2 linked regions of the Saccharomyces cerevisiae S288C genome follow. Changing the gene in region 1 together with any one later gene gives a genetic interaction. Each region holds a gene or a part of one and is shown in the gene's direction. Other genes may lie near its edges. The genes, in order: BIO4 and YHL048C-A.

Evidence for each region.
Region 2: mutations in BIO4 (region 1) and YHL048C-A together harm fitness more than expected from each alone (negative genetic interaction), as found in Saccharomyces cerevisiae (one large-scale study listed by BioGRID).

Annotation. Positions count from the first base shown.
Region 1 is NC_001146.8:727,727-738,927, reverse strand, and holds BIO4 (dethiobiotin synthase), read left to right. Parts: upstream 1-4,858; coding exon 4,859-5,572; downstream 5,573-11,201. Other genes in the region: MNT4 (putative alpha-1,3-mannosyltransferase), read right to left, coding at 383-2,125; BIO3 (adenosylmethionine-8-amino-7-oxononanoate transaminase), read right to left, coding at 3,195-4,637; BIO5 (Bio5p), read left to right, coding at 5,625-7,310; HOL1 (Hol1p), read left to right, coding at 8,742-10,502.
Region 2 is NC_001140.6:2,755-13,364, reverse strand, and holds YHL048C-A (uncharacterized protein), read left to right. Parts: upstream 1-7,567; coding exon 7,568-7,702; downstream 7,703-10,610. Other genes in the region: PXP3 (Pxp3p), read right to left, coding at 516-863; seripauperin PAU13, read left to right, coding at 1,080-1,442; ARN2 (siderophore transporter), read left to right, coding at 3,152-5,014; COS8 (Cos8p), read right to left, coding at 5,819-6,964; YHL049C (uncharacterized protein), read left to right, coding at 8,824-9,639; YHL050C (uncharacterized protein), read left to right, coding at 10,054-10,610.

The DNA of each region.
Region 1 (11,201 bases):
AGGGTCCAGAGAAAAATGCATGTGTCAGTGTTCTAAGCCAAGTATATATGATTACCGGTAAAATTCTACGCCAATATTCGTCTTTTACTGAAGAAAAGTATTGTTGGCATTCCTACTTTATTTTAAAGTTTTCTTGAGGCAAAATGAAGAAAGAGCTAAGGCTCTTTTTATGAGCGAATTTCACATAATGTTAACTAAATATAAATGCGGGAATAACATTGTGCCAAGAGGAACTTAAATAAGGATATCTCAAAAACAGCCTAGTTCCGTAGGAAAGATGCCGTTTGAAAACGATGTCAAGAAGGGTTTAACATGCTTTATAGAAAAATCTAAAAGTTTAAAAACTTATAGGAAATTCACCGTACTCATACTGAAACATACTCTATACAACCTTGTTCCATAATTCTACAACTTTCTCGTAATATTTCTTTTGAGAATCTGTAAACTCTATCAATTTTCCGTACTGTCCCTTCCTATAATGTGTGCAATAGCTGTACATAACGCATTCGCTCTGTTGCGACCAGGGGGACTTGCTGACATCGGGTATTATGACAGCTTCGAGTTTCACAGGTGATTGATAGTAATTCCGTAATTCATCAACGCTTTTGTATTTGGCCGCAATCTCTTTACGCTTTGTAAAATCATAATTCCAACAATTTTTTTTGCAAACGGATAATCCGCCATTCAACCACAAAAGATTACCGTACACGTCCGTGTGAGATAGCTGGGTAGAACAGATTGTACTGCTTTCTAGAGTCTCCGGCTTCTCTAATCTTCCTACATTCGAAGCCTCTATTGGATAAAAAGTAAACTCTTTTTTGGAAATAAACAAACTAAGCCAAAACCATTCCTTATCACCATGGAAAAACTCTTGGATAGGCGAAAATTGCAGCATTATTGCGATTGGTAGACAGAAAAAGTGTTTTTGTTTATCGAATATCACTAAGCCGCTGTCCATGTAATGTTTTTGTTTCTTGAAAATCAAGGCCTCTATTGCATCAATTGCCATCTCATCGTTTAGGTTATGTTTTAAGATTTCAAAACCTTGCTCCGAATCCGAGGATACATCCAGACTATTATTGATTATCTGCTTCAAAACTTTAACTTGGAGTGGACTTAACTTGGAGGTTGGAAAACTCCTGTCTTTGAAAAACAGTGTACCTGTTCTTTTAAATCCGTCAATTTCATAGAGTGTATCCAACGGGACAAAAGGTACAGTATCAGAGTCCAAAAAGATTGGTATTTGAAATGAACAAAAGGTAATTGCCAGCCACTTATTCGAAAATCTCTTGAATCTCGCTAAATATTCGTCATTTAACATGTCTTTCACATCCAGAAACCACAATTCCTGAGGGGGATAATTTAAGGATCCAGATTCTCTTGCTGCTGCTATCAAGAGCTGTTGAGAACTCTCATGTAAATCCGATTTGTGAACGATTTCAATTGGAAGGGAATTATTTAACAGCCGCAAAACTCTTATTAGTCGAATTGTATCAGCCACCAGATATTCCGATACGCTCATTACCACACCTTTTGAATTCCTTTGAAGAGCTGAATTCAACCAGTTCTCCCAAAAAGGTTCGCTAGCCTTGAATTCAATGGGTGAAGTTCCAATGAACGAATTGTTCTCAGAAGAAAATTGTAATACCTGTCCACGGTACTTTGTTCCATCAAATCGGGTATGAACAGGCCAAAAATTATGAGATTGTTCACTATTTAGGGCTGTGAAGTTTATATATGGGAACAACTTGGTTTCTATGCTATGAAGAAGGGAAATATCCTGATCAGCACGGATTTCTTTTGAGCATTTTTGATACAAATCCAAATTGGATAGCGATCGGGACACAGTTTTCACATCCTTGCGACTCCTGGTCACGTAAGATATAAAAGATTTCCATCTATTCGGTTCATAGAATTTACTTGTCAATTCCGGCTTTTCATATTCCTCTATTTGACGCAGTCTAGAAAAGCAGTGCACGTTGCCAGAGCGATCATCTTCTCTGCGTGTTTCGAAATGGTCGGAGAATGGATACTGTCGGTAGACCCTAAAAAGAACAATGAGAGACAACAATGATGTGAAGATCAATGGTGCCAGTTTCTTAATTCTTCGTATGCGCAATACCATTTTTTGCAGAGTACGTTTTTAAAGATGGCACTTTTACCTTAACACAAGGGACTCAATTTCATGTTAACAAATTTCATCTTTTCCAAGTGTTACATAGCACTACCGATCCTTTCCTAGGTAACGAAACCATGATAAACTAGTGCTGCTGCTTTAAACAAAGAGGCGCAATGTTTACCTTCAGAAGAGAGGTCATACAATTACTTGGAGGGTAACATTACTAATTTTGCAGAGATTGCAACATAGGTGATCTTATATGTTGAAATAAAAACTACTGCTGATATTGCTTGCTTTGATAATAACAATATTCGAGGGAAAATACTGCCCATGCTACTTCAGTGTGATGGCAAAGCGTTTTCTCATCTAGGAGAGCAACGGTTTGATCCCCGTGAAAAGCCTGGGCCCAGTACATCTTGTAAGATCTTACACAATATTAAGTTATATAGACATCGTTTACTACATTCAAGGTCTTGTGAATAGTTACTGCGGATAGGTTAATAGAGGAAGATATAGTGCAAAATTTCAAGTAGCGGAAGATAATCAAATGCTGAAGGAAATTTACAGGTTTGCCTCAATAATAATCTTGACTCTGCCGGAAAAATTTACCAGAGGGTTCAAAGGTATGAGTTGTACGACCCGGTTCAACAGTAGTTGCTTGAAGAGTAAGCTGAGCCTATAATATCCCATCTTTTCCGTTCTTCTCATAATAAATAAAAGATAGGATCGTGAGATGTGTCAGCTGCTGAGGAGTGTAACTAGCGCTAATGGGAGAACATAGAAGAGAGTACCGTGATGGCACAGAAGGCGGGTAGGCGACCACGGACCATTTCGGTCCAGATTTCTCAACTCGTACTTCCTGTGATACGTTCTTGCCCTGAACTAGTCAATTTTCTCTTGTGCAGCAGGCTTCGACATAGTTTTATGATAAGAAAAGTAAGATATAAAGGTCCGCTAGAATAAATAACCATAAATTTTTTATTTTGAGTTATATCAATATAAATAATAGCGTAAAAGAATGCATTTTACGCAAGAAATAAGAATTCCTTGGCAAATGACTTGATGAGATCGTATATCATTGGTTTATGTGGGATTTCCACTCATGTAATACTTCAATCAAGACTTGATTAACCTTCGTCAATTCCTCTGTCGTGATCACATATGGTGGCATAATGTAACACAGGCAGTTGAAAGGTCGGATATGTACTCCCTTGGATATAAACTTTTTCTGGAACCACTCGGGATCTGTCTTCTTGTATAGCTCTACGATACCTACAGCTCCAATAACTGACACACGCTTAACAACAGTTCCAATGAGCCCATTATCTGGGTTCTTGATGTACTGGTATAGTTCTCTATAAATTTGGTTTTCAATTGCAGACACTTGTTTTCTCCACTCGCCACGCAGTAGTATATCCATAGACTTTTCTGCCACACTGCATGCCAGGGCATTGCCCATGAAGGTGGGGCCATGCATGAAGCAGCCACCAGTAGGGCTATTTGGAGAAGAGATTCTGGAAGCAACTTTGTCGTTGACTACCACTGCACTCATAGTCATATATCCACTGGTTAAGCCCTTCCCAACGCACAATATGTCAGGAACAACTTTGATCTGATCGGAAGGACTGATGCCATGTTGGTCCTGGTATTTTTGACAGTGCTTGAATGCGAAAATCTCACCTGTTCTACCAAATCCTGTAGCAATCTCGTCCATGATGAATAAAACGTCGTATTGGTTACATAGTTTCTGAACTTCGATTAAGAACTGTGGATGGTATGGTCGCAAACCTCCTGCACCCTGTAAGATAGGCTCCAAAATCACAGCACAGATCTTATCACTATGCAATTCAAATTGCTTCTTGAGATCGGTAACTTCTTCTGCATTCCAATGGTCCTCGAAACCGTTCTGGCTGGTTGGAAGGCCATCGACAATAGAGGGAGCTTGGGCGAAGATGTTCTCACTGAGTCGATCGTTGTAGATATGATGCATAGAATTCTCAGGATCACAAACACTCATAGCGCCAAATGTATCACCATGATACCCGTTCTTGATTGTCAAAAACTTTGTTCTATTTTTAGTAGCTTCCCCTGACATGTTTGATTGTAAAGCCATCTTCAAAGCTACTTCCACTGCTACTGAGCCAGAATCTGCGAGGAAACAGTACTGCAAAGAGGGTTCATCAATCACTTTTAAAAGTTTTTGGACTAGATTCACAGCTCCTTTATGGGTGAATCCACCAAGAAGGACGTGAGAAAACTTTAACATCTGCTTGGTAAGGGCCTCATTTAGTTCTGGATTATTGTACCCGTGAATAACACACCACCACGACGACATGGCGTCGATCACCTCGACGTCCACTGGTGAGTCGGTATCCAACACCAGCTTGCATCCGTGAGCACTCTTTACCGGATAAACGTTCAATGGTGAACTCAATGACGTATAAGGATGCCAAATATGTTTTTTATCAAAGTCTAGCAGTTCCGCGACATCTGGTGTATATGAAATTTCTTGGGACATTAGTTGTTATCCTAGCAATAGAAAACGAATTGCGCTGTTGACATCCTCCCGACCAAAAGAAAATGAAATATACAAACAATGGCTATTTATAATTCAAAATTATTGGGCAAAACAAAATAAAATCCCGCTGGTAGTTCGTTTACTGAAGTATATAAAGAGATATACTTTTTTCCACAAGTAGGCCAGTGAAAAGAACTCAAAAAATCACTAGCGCACAGGTCATGAACAGCAAATCTCAACAACAAGAACAACAACCAATTGTATTCGTCACCGGTACAGACACTGATGTTGGTAAAACCTTTGTATCAACATTATTGGTACACAAATGGAAAGCTGCATACTGGAAACCCGTACAAACTGGAATTGAGTCAGATCAAGGTGACTCCGAGACATTGAAAAATTTCAAAATAGCCGCATCAACTTGGCAACCACCTATATTCACGCCCACTTATGCGCTGCAGAAGCCTCTATCTCCGCTCCAGGCCATGGAGTACGAACCTAATGTCGACATCAGGTTGTTGGATTTCGTAGTTCCTGAAGAGTGGAGCGCAGAGAATCCATTGGTCGTAGAAGGAGCCGGCGGGGTTTGCGTTCCTATCACTCGTAAATTGGAAATTACGACGGATCTAATTAAACATCTGATTGAGACTAGCGGCCATCCAGTGTACGTAGTTGTCGTGGCACGCAGCGGGCTAGGGACTCTGAATCATACATTGCTGACTTGGAATCATCTTTGCGATAATGGCTTGAGAAGCCACCTTTTTGGGGTCATTCTCAATGGGGAACCGAATGAAGGCAACGTGCAGGCCCTGAAGAAGTTCGGTGTCAATATTATGGCACAGGTTGCACAATGTACTACGGCACATGATCAGGATATGGAGTTGCATGAACTGCCATCGGTGGAGTCATTAATGACCCAACAAGACGTAGAATAGTTTAAATAAAAAAGTTGCAAGGCTTTCATCAGCTATATATAAGTAGCATGGTATGAACAGAGTAGGGGCAGTGTTCCTATTTGTATATGAAAGAAATTTTTTTTTGTCTATTGTTCCAGATCGTCACAGGACGGAAATAAGAATGTCTAGTTCAGAAAGGTCAGAAGTCAAGTTTGACAAGCACTTTAATTGGTGGTCCCTATTAGGTATCGCGTTCTCATTAAGTTGCTCATGGGTCGGTATCTCAGCGTCGATGGCCGTTGGTATTGCCAGTGGAGGGCCACTGCTTATCATCTATGGGTTGATAATTGCTGCTTTTTTCAGTCTCATGTGTGGTATATCTCTGGGAGATTTTGCTGCTATCCTGCCAAACAGCAGCGGTGGTTCATTTTGGGTTCTTAAAATGTTGGAACAAGAATCAGTCACTTTGAAAACCCCTGAGTACGAGGACCCTTCTGACGATGATGAAGAAGTGTTCCTCGAGAATTATTGTCAAACTTTCAACGTGGAAGTTTCTTCTAAATTTCAAAAGGTTTCTTCCATGGTTGTAGGGTTGCTGAACTATTTCGGTGCCATTTTTACTACCGCAAGTATCTGCTCATCTTTGTCAATGAGCTGTATCGGTATTCATAAGTTGTTGCATCCGGACTACGAGTTAAAGCACTGGCATGTTTTTGTGGGTTACGAGTGTATCAATGCCGTTTTGACACTTTTCAACATTTATTCAACTCCGTTGCCCTATATCTCTCAGTTTGGGCTCTATACGTCTCTATTGTCTTTCGCCATGACTTTCATTATTTGTATTGTTTCAAGATCTGACAACACCGTAGACCCATGGCCCAAAGCTTCTAATATATTTGGGAGCTTTGATAATCAAACAGGCTGGAATTCGTCTGGAATGGCGTTTGTTGTCGGTTTGGTCAATCCGATCTGGGCATTTGTTGGCATTGACTCTGCTACGCACATGATTGATGAAGTGGGTTATAGTAAGTCACGTTTCTTAGTTCCCAAAGTTATTATCACTACCATCATTGTGGGCTTTGTAACTAGTTTTATTTATTGCGTTGGTTTGTTTTTCTGCATCACTGACCAAACGGCAGTCGTTGAGTCTATTTTACCTATCGTAGAAATATTTTACCAGGCCACTGGTAATAGGAATCTCAGTGTCTTCCTGCAATGTATGTGTATCACAACAGGTTTTGTTTCAGGCATTGCAAGTGGAACCTGGCAAAGTCGAATCCTCCAATCATTCGGGAAAAGTTACGCACCATTTTATAAAGAGGGTTCCTTGGGAAACAAATCCTTGAAGAAGCTAGCAGTGTTGACACCTGGGTTTAAGTCTCCATTATATGCCCATTTTTTGTCACAAATATGTGTAACGATAATTGGCTGTATATTTATGGGATCTAGTACCGCTTTCAACGCAATTATCACTGCATGCATCACCCTGTTACTAATGTCGTACGCAGTTCCTTCTTTTATATTCCTGTTCGTTATTAAAAAGGAAAAATTCATTCATAGAATCGAGAGTGACGTAAATTGTGTCAGCAGGCCTAACCGTCGTCGTATGTCTATGATTCCTCATATTATATGTATTCTATGGACCTTGTTCTGCCTGGTATTTTTATCTTTCCCATATACACTACCGGTTACTGCAGGAAACATGAATTACACCTCAGTAGTGTATGCAGTAGTTTTCTGCATTATCAGCATCGTTGTTTTCCCTACATGCATCTAAGATGCTGTTGAAAGAAAAACAGTCCTTATAAATTCCTAGGTCGATACTACCTTTTGTAGCTCTATCGTCAGAACTTCTGCCCTCCTGTATCATAGTTTCATAAAATAATTGTATATTTATTACCAGAAGTACCCTTGTATTACAAAACTAATCGCACACCACAAAGAGTAAAAGTAGGTACCATAGCAGCAGCGCTTAACCTATTCTCCGTCAGTATGAATGAAATATGTGGATTTCGATTACGATTCATTATAAGATCAGAACACATAAAGCCATTTTACTGAGCTATCTCAACTGCACAAACCATAACAAGTAAAAACTAGCTAGTGTAATTAGGAGATTATCGAAAGTCCTGGTCAAGCAGCAAGTTGGGCGAAAGTGTATTTTTGGTCCTTAAATAGTCCCGATTATGGGAAAATTACAAGTCATGACAAAATTTATTTTATAGGTGCACAAAATAGTCTGTAGATATTTTAATATCAAAAGAAAAAAGACGTATTCGCATGATAGTATATACCAAAGAAGAACGATTCAGAGAATGAATGTGGACAAGTTTTTTTGAGGAAAATGAAAACTAGAAAATCAAGGATATTGAGTACTTAGTCATTTTTTTCATTTTTTTCTTCGAGAAAATTTCTTTTTCATTACTTACTTATTTTTGCCAAGACATTTTTTTATCTTTTAAAATATATTCAAATAGTTCTTCTCTGAACAGAATTTTTCTCTCTTATGATGTACAATTACTTTCTTAAGTCACATATAATACCACACAATGCAAAAATTTCATGCATCAGCTCTCTAAGCTTTGAGAAATGTGTAGTTTGACGTTTACATCAAGGCCTGGTTGTGTCATATGAAATTCTACGGATATTTTTAGGGAGCTTTCGCCTAGCGAGAACAAAAGCATAACAAAAAAAGTTGCAGTTGATGAAAATTTTCTTTTTAGGATAAAGTTATTTTCCAGACAGAAAATTAAACTAAAGACCTCGCCGTTAACAAACCATAGTAGTTTAGACTATTTCCTAACCTTTCTATAGATTCATTTAATTGTCTATTGTCTTCAATCTAAACGATAAAGATAAATACGCAGTCGAATAAGAAAGAATTATCTGTATCAGTCTCTGAGGTAATATTTACTGAACCTCCTCTGCAAAAATAAAACAAGCCCATTTTGTTGTCGAAAGCGCTAGCATCCTTAATTTTACGATACTATTTCATGCTATTACTACCAAGTTGACATCCCTTATTATCTTATTTATTTGAAACTAGAAGAATAGCAAGTAAACACTAAATCCGAAAGAATCGAAGTATCATATTACAATCTACAGGATATAACAAAACAGCTTCGCAACTTTTGCATTTCTAACGAATATAAAGAAAAGAACTACTATAGAAGAAAGTTTGCGAGTGTGAATCTTAAATTTTTAACAGATGGACAAATATACCAACAGGGATCATCCGGACTATATTCCTGGCACATTTAACATCTATTCTTCCCAAAATTTGGAAAATGGTATTATATACGAATCAAAATTGAAGAAAACCTCCTCAGGAGTCGTCCTAATCCCTCAACCATCATACTCGCCAAATGATCCACTGAACTGGTCTAGCTGGAGGAAATTGGCTCATTTTGGTCTAATGGCCTTTATAACTGCGTTTACCGCCGCTACTAGTAACGACGCTGGTGCTGCTCAAGACTCATTGAATGAGATTTATGGGATATCCTACGATTCCATGAACACAGGGGCTGGTGTTCTTTTCCTAGGTATTGGTTGGTCCACTTTATTCTTGGCTCCATTTGCTAACTTGTATGGCAGGAAGATTACGTACATAGTTTGCACCACATTAGGTCTCTTTGGTGCGCTTTGGTTTGCTTTGGCCAAAAGAACGAGCGACACAATATGGTCTCAGTTGTTTGTAGGTATTAGTGAGTCCTGTGCTGAAGCCCAGGTGCAACTGTCCCTGAGCGACATTTTTTTCCAGCACCAATTGGGCTCCGTATTGACCGTGTATATCATGTGCACTAGTATCGGTACGTTCTTGGGCCCATTGATCGCTGGGTACATATCTGCATTTACCAACTTCCGTTGGGTCGGTTGGGTCGCAGTGATCATATCTGGTGGCCTTTTAATAACTATTATATTTGGCTGCGAAGAAACGTACTTCGACAGAGGCCAGTATATGACCCCTTTGACCAGCTGTCAATCGGGATACGAAGACGGTACCACTTTACAAAACTCTGACAATACGGCCGTGTCGCGCAGGAAACGTCATCTTGACGCTAAATTATCAACTCCTGGAGCCATGGGTGAGAAAGGTGTAGACCTTTCAGAGACGGCTGAATTCGAAGTTAACAATGAAGAGGAAGTTACCATACCTGAGACTCGCGAATTGATTGATGGTTCAAAAGAGCATTTGAAACCATACCCAAAAAGAGTAGCAATATTAACCAAAGCTACTAATTTGAAAGGCTACGGTTTTAAACAGTATTTCAAATATCTAAAGATCAACCTTAGAATGTTCTTATTCCCGCCAGTGTGGTTGTCTGGTATGTTTTGGGGTATTCAAGACGTTTTCCTGACGTTTTATTTGACCACTCAAGAAAGCGCCTACTACGAACCTCCATGGAACTATAGTGATTTTGGTGTCGCAATTATGAATGTTCCCACACTTATTGGAGCAGTCATCGGTTGTATCTGTGCTGGCATTGTTAGTGACTACTTTGTTCTTTGGATGGCTCGTCACAATAGAGGAATTTTAGAGGCAGAATTTAGACTATACTTCTCTATCGCAACTGCAATTATTGGGCCAGCGGGTTTGCTGATGTTTGGTATCGGTACCGCTAGACAATGGCCTTGGCAAGCTATATACGTCGGGTTGGGTTTTGTTGGGTTTGCATGGGGTTGTTCTGGTGATATTGCGATGGCGTATTTAATGGATTGTTACCCCGATATGGTTTTGGAAGGTATGGTTTGTACTGCTATTATTAACAACACGATATCTTGCATTTTCACCTTTACCTGTTCTGATTGGCTAGCTGCATCTGGTACTGAAAATACTTACATTGCTTTAGCTGTCATCAACTTTGGGATTACTGCATTTGCTTTACCAATGTACTACTATGGTAAGAGGATAAGACTTTGGACTAAGAGATGGTATTTGCAATCTGTCAATTTGAGAGACGGTGTGTAATTCAGAGACGTCTTTCTTGTATCTAGTAGATGATAGGAATTAAGTATTTTTTTTTTACCTAACTAGGATTATAATTGCAACAACAAAAGCGCCCTTCGTGAAACACGTGGGATACCGGTTAGGTAATATTACAGTTTCCTTACACACTTACTAAATACGCAACAGAGCATGTTATTAATCGTATATTTAAGTAATAATAACGTATTGACCATTCCTAAGACTGAAGCAGTACCAAGAAATGGCACTTTTTGTTTATATGACATAGTAAAAGTGTTCATTTGGCAGAAAACAAGGGTATCTGGATACTGCAATCCTCATTAGTTGCGGAGAGCTTTTTTAAAGTTTTATTACTTCGATAATGCTTTCCTCCAGAACTGGGCGCGCACTGAAGCCATAAACTGAGTGGTTGTCCCTGTGTATATTCTACAATCGCCTATTTGAAACTTCTGGGTGATAATATCGATTTAGCGATTGGGTTTCTCCCTTCTGAGATTCTGGATAAATGAGATGCTACCCTCACAGTAAAAACAGTACAAAACCTTTGTATAGTTCTAGTCAAATATGAACTCCTTCATTCATGGATTGTATACTATTGTTCTTGTTGAAAGATTCCTCTTGTGATTTTCATGGTGATTTTAAGCCTTTTTTATTGAAAGAATTAAATATTCACTAGGCTGCGATACGATAGACAAACGAAGT
Region 2 (10,610 bases), on another chromosome or scaffold:
AATAAGTATGTTGCATAACTTTTGTAGAATTTACCAGAAAAACTCCAATATAACTTACTTCATTATGACATATAAGCTAGATCTTGATTTCTTTCGTCAACATACTAAAGCACGCTATCGGAGACTTCTTCAAACCCTTTCTTATGAGAACACTTAGCTGACTGTACATTTAAGAAGCTTTAGAGATGAGCCGTCACCATGAATATAGCGATGGTTTTGTCTACAAGGAATACCAACTATTAATACCATTTCCTACAGAAAGTTTTTAATTGAATAAAATACATTAGCGCCATATATTGCCTTTTTCACTTTTCTTTATATCTAGCTAGAAGAAAAATACTGTGCCTCGAAGAATAAATTTTTCCCACCGCACAGAGTTGTAGTACTGCTACAAACTGAACTCAACATTTTTTTTTTACCATACGCGGCTCTTCCAATACTAGCTGCTTCTCAGCGGCCTACAATTACGTAATTGCGTCAATGAATTTCCTGAGAACGCTTAAAAACTACAAACTCTACAAATAAGCGACTCCCAATACACGTTTTCTATTTTTAATTAAACTATCAGGAGAGGGATAATATAGTATTACCTCTTCCATTGGAGGCTGTTTACAGCAAATTGAATATGGGCTTAAACATAAGAATCTGTACGAGGGTCCAAATCTAAAATTCGGATATTCTTTTTGACCGAAAACGGAAACTTCAAAGGCACGGAAAAGGGTTTTATAAGGCACTCTGGCACCCCTATAATAGGCATTCCCACATTCTGCGCATACGAATAGACAAAGGCCCCAGAAAACAATACCTTCGCATACGGAATCTATAAAGATGCATGCCTCGTTTAAAAACAATAACATCTTCATAGTGATAATCAAATTCTGTGAAAGATGAGATATGGAGAATATGCGAGGTACTAAATGAGCGTCTGTTAACGAATCGTTTAAGTAGTGATGACTGATGAAGGCATGGGTATAAATAGAGCTGCTTCAACTATATGCCTTTGAGAATATGTCTTTATTCCTTCCCTTCCTGTTAAGCTTATATCAGCACTAACAAACATAACAAACATAACAAATACAATGGTCAAACTAACTTCAATCGCCGCTGGTGTCGCTGCCATCGCTGCTACTGCTTCCGCAACCACCACTCTAGCTCAATCTGACGAAAGAGTCAACTTGGTTGAATTGGGTGTCTACGTCTCTGATATCAGAGCTCACTTGGCCCAATACTACATGTTCCAAGCCGCCCACCCAACTGAAACCTACCCGGTTGAAGTTGCTGAAGCCGTTTTCAACTACGGTGACTTCACCACCATGTTGACTGGTATTGCCCCAGACCAAGTGACCAGAATGATCACCGGTGTTCCATGGTACTCCAGCAGATTAAAGCCAGCCATCTCCAGTGCTCTATCCAAGGACGGTATCTACACTATCACAAACTAGAGACAAACGCCTTTACGAATGAAATTCCATAAAACTTAAAAAAACAAAAAAAAAAAAGCTTTTTTTTTTGATAGTATAAATAGTTGATTATATTAATGTATACCAGTATTATAAAACCTACTTGATTATTCATGCCGTTCTTATCAGAAGTATTTACTGTAGTGGTAAAATATAGTGCCTTGATAATCCAATAGTCTTGTCTGTCTAAAAGGCTTCAGTTGAATACCTTCTTTCGTACATGTTGCTATTTCAGGGTATCGGGCCGGAGCATTTACCATTTGCGGCGTAAATGCTAAAGTTAATAAATCTGAGTCTTCCTGTTTTATGAGTCAGATGGAGGTGTAACGCAAAGAGTAAGTTAATCACAGAAAAAGGTTAGTATCCATTACATATTTATGTTATAGAACATATATGCGTATAGAGACAGAAAAATTGTTTAATAATAAAATCACCCACGCTTGCGTAAGACGTCCTTGAAGTCTTAATTAGTCCAGCTATAGTTATTAGCTATACCAATTGAAGAACCAATCGGTCGAGCGTTTTATATATCAGTAGAAAGCAAGCCTCTTACGAACTTGAATTTGGTACTTCCATAACTACATAATCATTTAACCCTTGCTTTACACTTGCCCAAAACTCTTAATTTAAAGAAAATGATCAAGTCTTAGATCAAGAGATGGGATATATGTCAATGATCGAATCATGCTCGACTAGGAAATAAGTCTGTACCGCGTAGAATCCTTTACTGTTTGTTTGAGATGAGCTTTAAACTTGAATTCTCTATCCACTCAACTGGGTAACGCTACTGAATAACTTGAAAAATGAAAACATTCACCTCAAAAAGCGCAGCGCCCTTTCTATATAAATATTTCCATTGAAAAAAATGTATAAAGAAGCAAGAAGTATGATATATGGTTTATAGTCATTCACAGGCTGAATAAACTTATGCAGGGCGGTTGGACTCCCCTTGTCCAAAAGAAAAAAGCCTCGTTTTAGCATCTTTCTTTTTTTTTCATATATATTGAGTTGTCGACAACCTACCTAGCAATATTTTTCCTTGTTAATTTAAATTATGTGAGTCCAATGATCGTCTTTTATTAAATTCTAAAGGTTTCCCTCCCGTCCGGGATCATACGAAACTTTCCTGCAGATATTAAATTTCCCTGTCAGGCCGGGTTGTGTGCAATCCGTTCTCCCTCTACCTTTGCTATATACAAACACCCGGTATATAAGCACCTATCTCAAGCAAGCAATCAGAAAATGGGTGCAGTTCTTAGTTCACAGTAAGGAACAAAAAAAAAAGAATAACTTTGAGCGTCCGTAGGGCTCCGTGCTTTACCAGTATGTCGTATATATCTTTAGAAGCAAAGCTGTGGCTGAAGTGATGGGTCCTGTTATGCCAGTAACTTGCACCTGCTTTAAGAAAACGGAATATACTTTCAGAACGTAGTCCGTAACAACCCTACTGGAGTTTCTGTGCTCCGATTCCACAAATCTAAGACAGTTACTCACTAATCTGCACAGAAGCTGAAATGATACAGCTTTTCACTAAGGGCAAGTTAAGAAGATAACGTGGTGAATTTTACCCAGTAGCCTTTTTACACCTTACTTTTTTCTATAAAGACATGAGATCCTGGTAGAAGAACTTTGCTTGTGTCCTTTCCACTTGAGCTCCAAAAACAGTTGTAACTCTTTGGGCCAAAGGAAATATGATCGAAGTCCCAGAAGACAATCGTTCTAGCCAAACAAAGCGTAAGAATACTGAAAAAAATTGTAATGAACTGATGGTTGATGAAAAGATGGATGACGATTCGTCGCCCAGAGATGAAATGAAAGATAAATTAAAGGGAACAAAATCATTGATTATTCGTAAGTCTGAGCTAATGGCTAAAAAGTATGATACTTGGCAATTAAAAGCTATATTCCTGTTTTCTGCATTCATTTGCACTTTCGCTTATGGATTAGATAGCAGCATAAGGGGTACATATATGACCTACGCAATGAACTCGTACTCCGCACATTCTCTCATTTCTACAGTAAGCGTCATAGTTCTAATGATATCTGCTGTTTCACAGGTGATCTTTGGAGGGTTATCAGATATCTTTGGAAGGCTAACGTTGTTTCTTGTATCCATTGTACTTTACATTGTGGGTACAATAATTCAATCTCAAGCATATGATGTCCAGAGGTATGCTGCTGGAGCTGTCTTTTATTATGTGGGACTTGTCGGTGTTATGCTACAGGTTGTTTTGATGTTGTCTGATAATTCTTCATTAAAATGGAGGCTATTTTACACATTGATACCTTCATGGCCCTCGATTATCACTACGTGGGTCTCAGGTAGTGTAGTGGAGGCAGCAAACCCGTTAGAGAACTGGTCGTGGAATATTGCTATGTGGGCGTTCATTTTCCCTCTATGCTGTATCCCATTGATTTTGTGTATGCTCCATATGAGATGGAAAGTAAGAAATGACGTGGAATGGAAAGAATTACAGGATGAAAAATCGTACTATCAAACGCACGGATTAGTACAAATGCTGGTACAGTTGTTCTGGAAGCTAGATGTTGTCGGTGTGTTGTTGTTTACTGCTGGTGTTGGTTGTATTCTTGTACCACTCACTCTTGCTGGTGGCGTCTCTACAAATTGGAGAAATTCAAAGATTATCGGGCCCTTTGTGCTTGGCTTTGTCCTGGTTCCAGGCTTCATATATTGGGAAAGTCGACTTGCTTTGGTTCCTTTCGCTCCATTCAAGCTGCTAAAAGATCGTGGCGTGTGGGCCCCATTGGGAATTATGTTTTTTATCTGCTTTGTATATCAAATGGCTGCTGGGTATCTCTACACCATTCTAGTAGTTGCGGTAGATGAGAGCGCTTCCTCAGCTACAAGAATAATAAACTTATACTCTTTTGTGACTGCTGTTGTTGCTCCATTTCTGGGGCTCATCGTTACGAGATCATCTAGATTGAAGTCGTATATTATTTTTGGTGGCTCACTTTATTTCATTACTATGGGACTATTTTACCGCTACAGGTCAGGTCAAGACGCCGATGGAGGTATAATTGCTGGTATGGTTATTTGGGGTCTCAGTAGTTGTTTATTCGATTATCCTACAATTGTTTCTATTCAGTCGGTAACATCCCATGAGAATATGGCTACTGTCACAGCATTAAACTATACAGTTTTCAGAATAGGTGGAGCAGTTGCAGCTGCCATTTCCGGTGCCATATGGACGCAGTCATTGTACCCTAAATTATTGCACTACATGGGAGACGCTGACCTGGCTACAGCAGCATATGGCTCACCACTAACTTTTATTCTTTCCAATCCCTGGGGTACTCCAGTTAGGTCTGCGATGGTTGAAGCTTACAGACACGTTCAAAAATACGAAGTTATTGTTGCGCTTGTATTTTCAGCGCCTATGTTCCTTCTAACATTCTGCGTAAGAGATCCTCGGTTGACTGAAGATTTTGCCCAAAAGTTACCTGACAGAGAATATGTCCAAACCAAGGAAGATGATCCTATCAATGACTGGATCGCGAAACGTTTTGCAAAGGCCTTAGGCAGGTCATAAGAAAGATTTACAAAACCCCAACAGGATATGTGTTCGAAAAAATGATCTCTGATATGCGCAGTAATTTTTGTATGGTACATAAGATGAAGCAAGATAAGTGATAGTAATATTTGTTACCATGTATATGTTTAATGTGATAACACAAAAGCGTAATATGAGTAATGTTTCAGTAATGTTTCACACATAGAAAACATATAGTGGAAAACGTATTGTAGCAAACCTCTAATCCGGTAGTACTTGAGAAATTATAGCTTCTGTGTACAAAAACAGTACCTATGTAATTCTTACATTTACATAACATATATAAACTTACTACATTATGACATATAAGCTAAATCGTAATTTACTACGTCAACAATATGTCATAGTGTAGTGATATCATTTGCGATTATATCCTACAAAAAAAAAGCACTTATATGACCAAAAATGTATTATCTGGATTTTAAGTTACCGCTTTAATATATGATGTTCTAATGTGAAGCCTGTGTACATATTGATTAGTATGAAAACATTATTGAACTTTCATGTTAATGACACCATGGCAGTATTCTTACCCCAAGTAAAGTGTTTCAGTCTTATTGCTAAAGGGTAGAATATTTTTATATTTAGGTGATTTTAGTGGTTATTTTTCTATAACAAATATTGAAAATAAGTGTTTTTGAATTTAGTGGTTATTGTATGGTGTAAAGTGATAAAACATATGCGAAAAGGAGTATTAATAATAATAAACAAGTAAAATACGTTTTGACTTACTGATATTCGATCAACTACACATAGTATATTTTGGAAAAGGAACATTTGTTCCTACTTTAGGGGCTTCTCATTGCGGGCCGATTGCGCTTCTTTAATGTATGGCCATAGCTCAACGTTCAACGAAGCAAACCACATAGGTTTTTTTAAAGATAAGAGACGATAGAAAAAGCGCCTAAAAAACCATTCGCAGTCAAGTCCATCGTAGAAAAACTCTTCATTATTCCAGACTTTTTTCTCAAACAAATACCTATTCATTTTCTTTGCAATTTCGTCCCATCCATTCGCACCACTTTCTTGCTCATTTATAATAGTTGACAAGAACTGCATCTTGTGTTCCATTTTCACGGATAAAACAATCATCCTCATATTTTGGAAATCTCTCGTCATGATAAAAAACATTACTACCGGAAACAAGAAACGTGATATAAGGTCAGCATTTCCAGACGTGTAGACAATTAAAAAATAATAAAGGAAGAGTGGTAAACACCGCAGGTTGAAAATCCTTTTAAGAATCCAGGTAAGCTTAAATCGGTAAGCTTCTTTGGGGAGCTGAATGTCTTCCAGGTCGAAAGGACTCTCTTCCTTCTCAGTATTAAACAGCTTCCACTCTTTGTCAAATCCTGCAGCATACACTTGCAAGGCCTCTTCGATATAAGGAACGGAATCCTTAAATGACTTAACCTTTGCAGATTCGTCTTTTTTTAAAGAGAAGGGTTCGAGAAGGGTTGTTTTAAACGCTTTTTGGCAGCTCATGGCATTGAAAAAAAAGTACTTGGTATTCCAAGTCTTATTTTCATAGAAGTACGAATTTAGATTTGCTGCAACGACTTCCCAATCATGAGGATCCGAACTTGGTGTGTCTTCAGTAATCTCTTTGCAAAACTGAATGAGTTGTTTCGATAAGGAACGCTTACGAGAAAGTCCACAAATAACAAGGACAAAAAATGGTCCCAGGAACAGGACAAGAAGTGAAACTATAAGTGGGTGAATCCAATTGCTGGAAAGTTTCCACCAGACGCTAAGTGGTAGCCATAACAGCATCCAGATGCGAAACGCTAAAGACTTGTAAATTTCATAACAAAACCAGGTCAATTCGTTTCGGAAAACATCTTGAGGTAGAACGGTCTTTTGGAATTCGAGCTGTTTGAAGGATAACACATCTACGCTTTTCTCATCTTTGACTTCATTCTCTTTCATTTTCGGTAGTGAGATGGCAGTTCGAGGGGTTTTTTATTCGAAATAGTAACTTCTGACTTTTCGCTTTTATACAGCACAGCAGAAAAAAAAAGCCGCCGAGGCGCGCGCGTTCATGCAATGGCTCAGTAACCTCGTGATAGAAAAAGGGAAACAATATTGGGCTATTTTAGGCAAAGAAACTCAGCTATTCGAAAAGGGCATCCATTTCATTTCCGGTTTTCTATCTAGCCAACTCGATAATCGTAATAACGAATTTACAAAACTTTAATGCGGGTGCATCACGGTGTGCCGTAACTTTGGTTTACATTTAAGGTGCGACCAGCAATGTCACTGCTCGTACAGCGGTTACCGCTTGAATGAAATACATATTTTAAGCGTAGATTTCCTGTGACAAAACTGTGTAAACATCTAGTAGAAAATAGACGTAGCTGTCACAAATATTTACACAGGAAAGAGTCCGTCCTACGTATCTGACATGAAGATTCATAGAACCAAGTTACTTACAAATGTGGACAACCTTTCAATACCATTTTTTATCCTTATGCTTGGTGTCACTGTAAAATTGATCAAGGCAAAACCTAGAGGTACGGTGGTGCTCAGATCATGCATGACATCTGGGTAATCACCACTTCTCCCGCTTGCTTTGAGATTCTGTATAAATATTGCAAACAAAAGGGTAGAGCACGGATGGGAGGCCTTATAGTAAAAATTATTCGTTTTAATCATGCGTCAGTGTGAGATTCTATGACAATAGTATGAGAAGATAGGGTGAAGTAAAAGCGTCTGTATGACTATAGAGTACAGTTATATTACAATATATGGAATAGAGCATAGTGGTATGACGGTATTAAGGAACATTTAAGTTAATGACGTCATGGTGGTATTGATACGCAATTGAGTGTGTTTATGTACTATGGTTGAAGGATAGAATATTTTTATGTTTAGGTGATTTTAGTGGTGATTTTTTTGTAATATTGGCATAAGTGTATATAAATTGAGTGGTTAGTATACGGTGAAAAAGAGGTATAACGTATGTATTAAGAGCAGTTATACAATATTTGGGGCCGCCGAATGAGATATAGATATTAAAATGTGGATAATCGTGGGCGTTATGGGTAAATGGCACAGGGTATAGACCGCTGAGGCAAGTGCCGTGCATAATGATGTGGGTGCATTTAGTACTGATTTAGTGAGAGATGGGTCATGGAGTGGAGTAGAATGTGAAAGTAGGGTAAGTTGAGAGTGGTATATACTGTAGCATCCGTGTGCGTATGCCGTACCAGTATACAAGTGCAAGTGAGTGTGGCATGTGGTGTGTGTGGGTAAGTACGTGTGTATTATTTACGATCATTTGTCAACGTTTCAACATGGTGGGTGGGACATGGAGCATTAGGAAGTGACTTGGTACGCCAAAAAGGGCTCCTCTACCTCAGCGGGGTAATAAAATTTATCCACGAAGCGGCTGAGCAACGAACAGAATCCTGGTTCTCCTCGACTAAGCAGACGGTTAAGATACTGTGCACCATGGAAATTGAAAACGAAAGCACGTACCGACTGCTTTATTTTTGCAGGCCGGAAATCAAGCGATGAATGAGACATCCTTCTGTTTTCTATGTTGGGACAGACAGTCGCTTATCTTAGTGAGATTTCTTATTAACTGAATTTTCTTTGCTGCTGCTGGAGATTTGCACCTGCATAGCGCAGATTCTGCTTCTTCTCAATAGAGTAGCTTAATTATTACATTCTTAGATGATGATAAGACGGAAACTGGACAATCTTTTGTTTATATTGATGGATTTCTTGTCAAAAAGCATAACAATCAACATACTATTGTTAATTTCGAAACTTACAAAAATAAAATGAAAGTTTCCGATAGGCGTAAGTTTGAAAAAGCAAACTTTGACGAGTTTGAGTCGGCTCTAAATAACAAAAACGACTTGGTACATTGTCCCTCAATAACTTTATTTGAATCGATCCCCACGGAAGTGCGGTCATTCTACGAAGACGAAAAGTCTGGCCTAATCAAAGTGGTAAAATTCAGAACTGGTGCAATGGATAGGAAAAGGTCTTTTGAAAAAATTGTCGTTTCCGTCATGGTCGGGAAAAATGTACAAAAGTTCCTGACGTTTGTTGAAGACGAACCAGATTTCCAGGGCGGACCAATCCCTTCAAAGTATCTTATTCCCAAGAAAATCAACTTGATGGTCTACACGTTGTTTCAAGTGCATACTTTGAAATTCAATAGAAAGGATTACGATACCCTTTCTCTTTTTTACCTCAACAGAGGATACTATAATGAGTTGAGTTTCCGTGTCCTGGAACGTTGTCACGAAATAGCGAGTGCCAGGCCGAACGACAGCTCTACGATGCGTACTTTCACTGACTTTGTTTCTGGCGCACCTATTGTAAGGAGTCTTCAGAAAAGCACCATAAGGAAATATGGGTACAATTTGGCACCCCACATGTTTTTGTTACTACACGTAGATGAGCTATCGATTTTTTCTGCATACCAAGCAAGTTTACCTGGCGAAAAGAAAGTCGACACAGAGCGGCTGAAGCGTGATCTATGCCCACGTAAACCCACTGAGATAAAGTACTTTTCACAGATATGTAACGATATGATGAACAAAAAGGACCGATTGGGTGATGTTTTGCATGTGTGCTGCCCAAGTTGAGAAGAGATACTAACAAAATGACCGCGGCTCTCAAAAATAATTGACGAGCTTACGGTGATACGCTTACCGTTATCCAGAGCTACAGCGCAACGTATACGTCGACGATACAACAAGAACGGTTCATCGGAGCCTCGACTAAAGACGCTTGACGGACTCACTTCCGAGCGCTGGATTCAATGGTTAGGCCTTGAAAGCGACTACCATTGTTCATTCTCTAGTACTCGGAATGCGGAAGACGTAGTGGCAGGTGAGGCGGCGAGTTCAGATCATGATCAAAAAATTTCAAGAGTAACGCGAAAAAGGCCCCGAGAGCCCAAGAGTACAAACGATATCCTCGTCGCAGGCCAGAAACTCTTTGGCAGCTCCTTTGAATTCAGGGACTTGCATCAGTTGCGCTTATGTCATGAAATATACATGGCAGACACACCCTCTGTGGCAGTACAGGCCCCACCGGGCTATGGTAAGACGGAGTTATTTCATCTCCCCTTGATAGCACTGGCGTCTAAGGGCGACGTGGAATATGTGTCGTTTCTGTTTGTACCGTACACAGTGTTGCTTGCTAATTGCATGATCAGGTTGGGCCGATGCGGTTGCTTGAATGTGGCCCCTGTAAGAAACTTTATTGAAGAAGGTTGCGATGGCGTTACTGATTTATACGTGGGGATCTACGATGATCTTGCTAGCACTAATTTCACAGACAGGATAGCTGCGTGGGAGAATATTGTTGAGTGCACCTTTAGGACCAACAACGTAAAATTGGGTTACCTCATTGTAGATGAGTTGCACAACTTTGAAACGGAGGTCTACCGGCAGTCGCAATTTGGGGGCATAACTAACCTTGATTTTGACGCTTTTGAGAAAGCAATCTTTTTGAGCGGCACAGCCCCTGAGGCTGTTGCTGATGCTGCGTTGCAGCGTATTGGGCTTACGGGACTGGCCAAGAAGTCGATGGACATCAACGAGCTCAAACG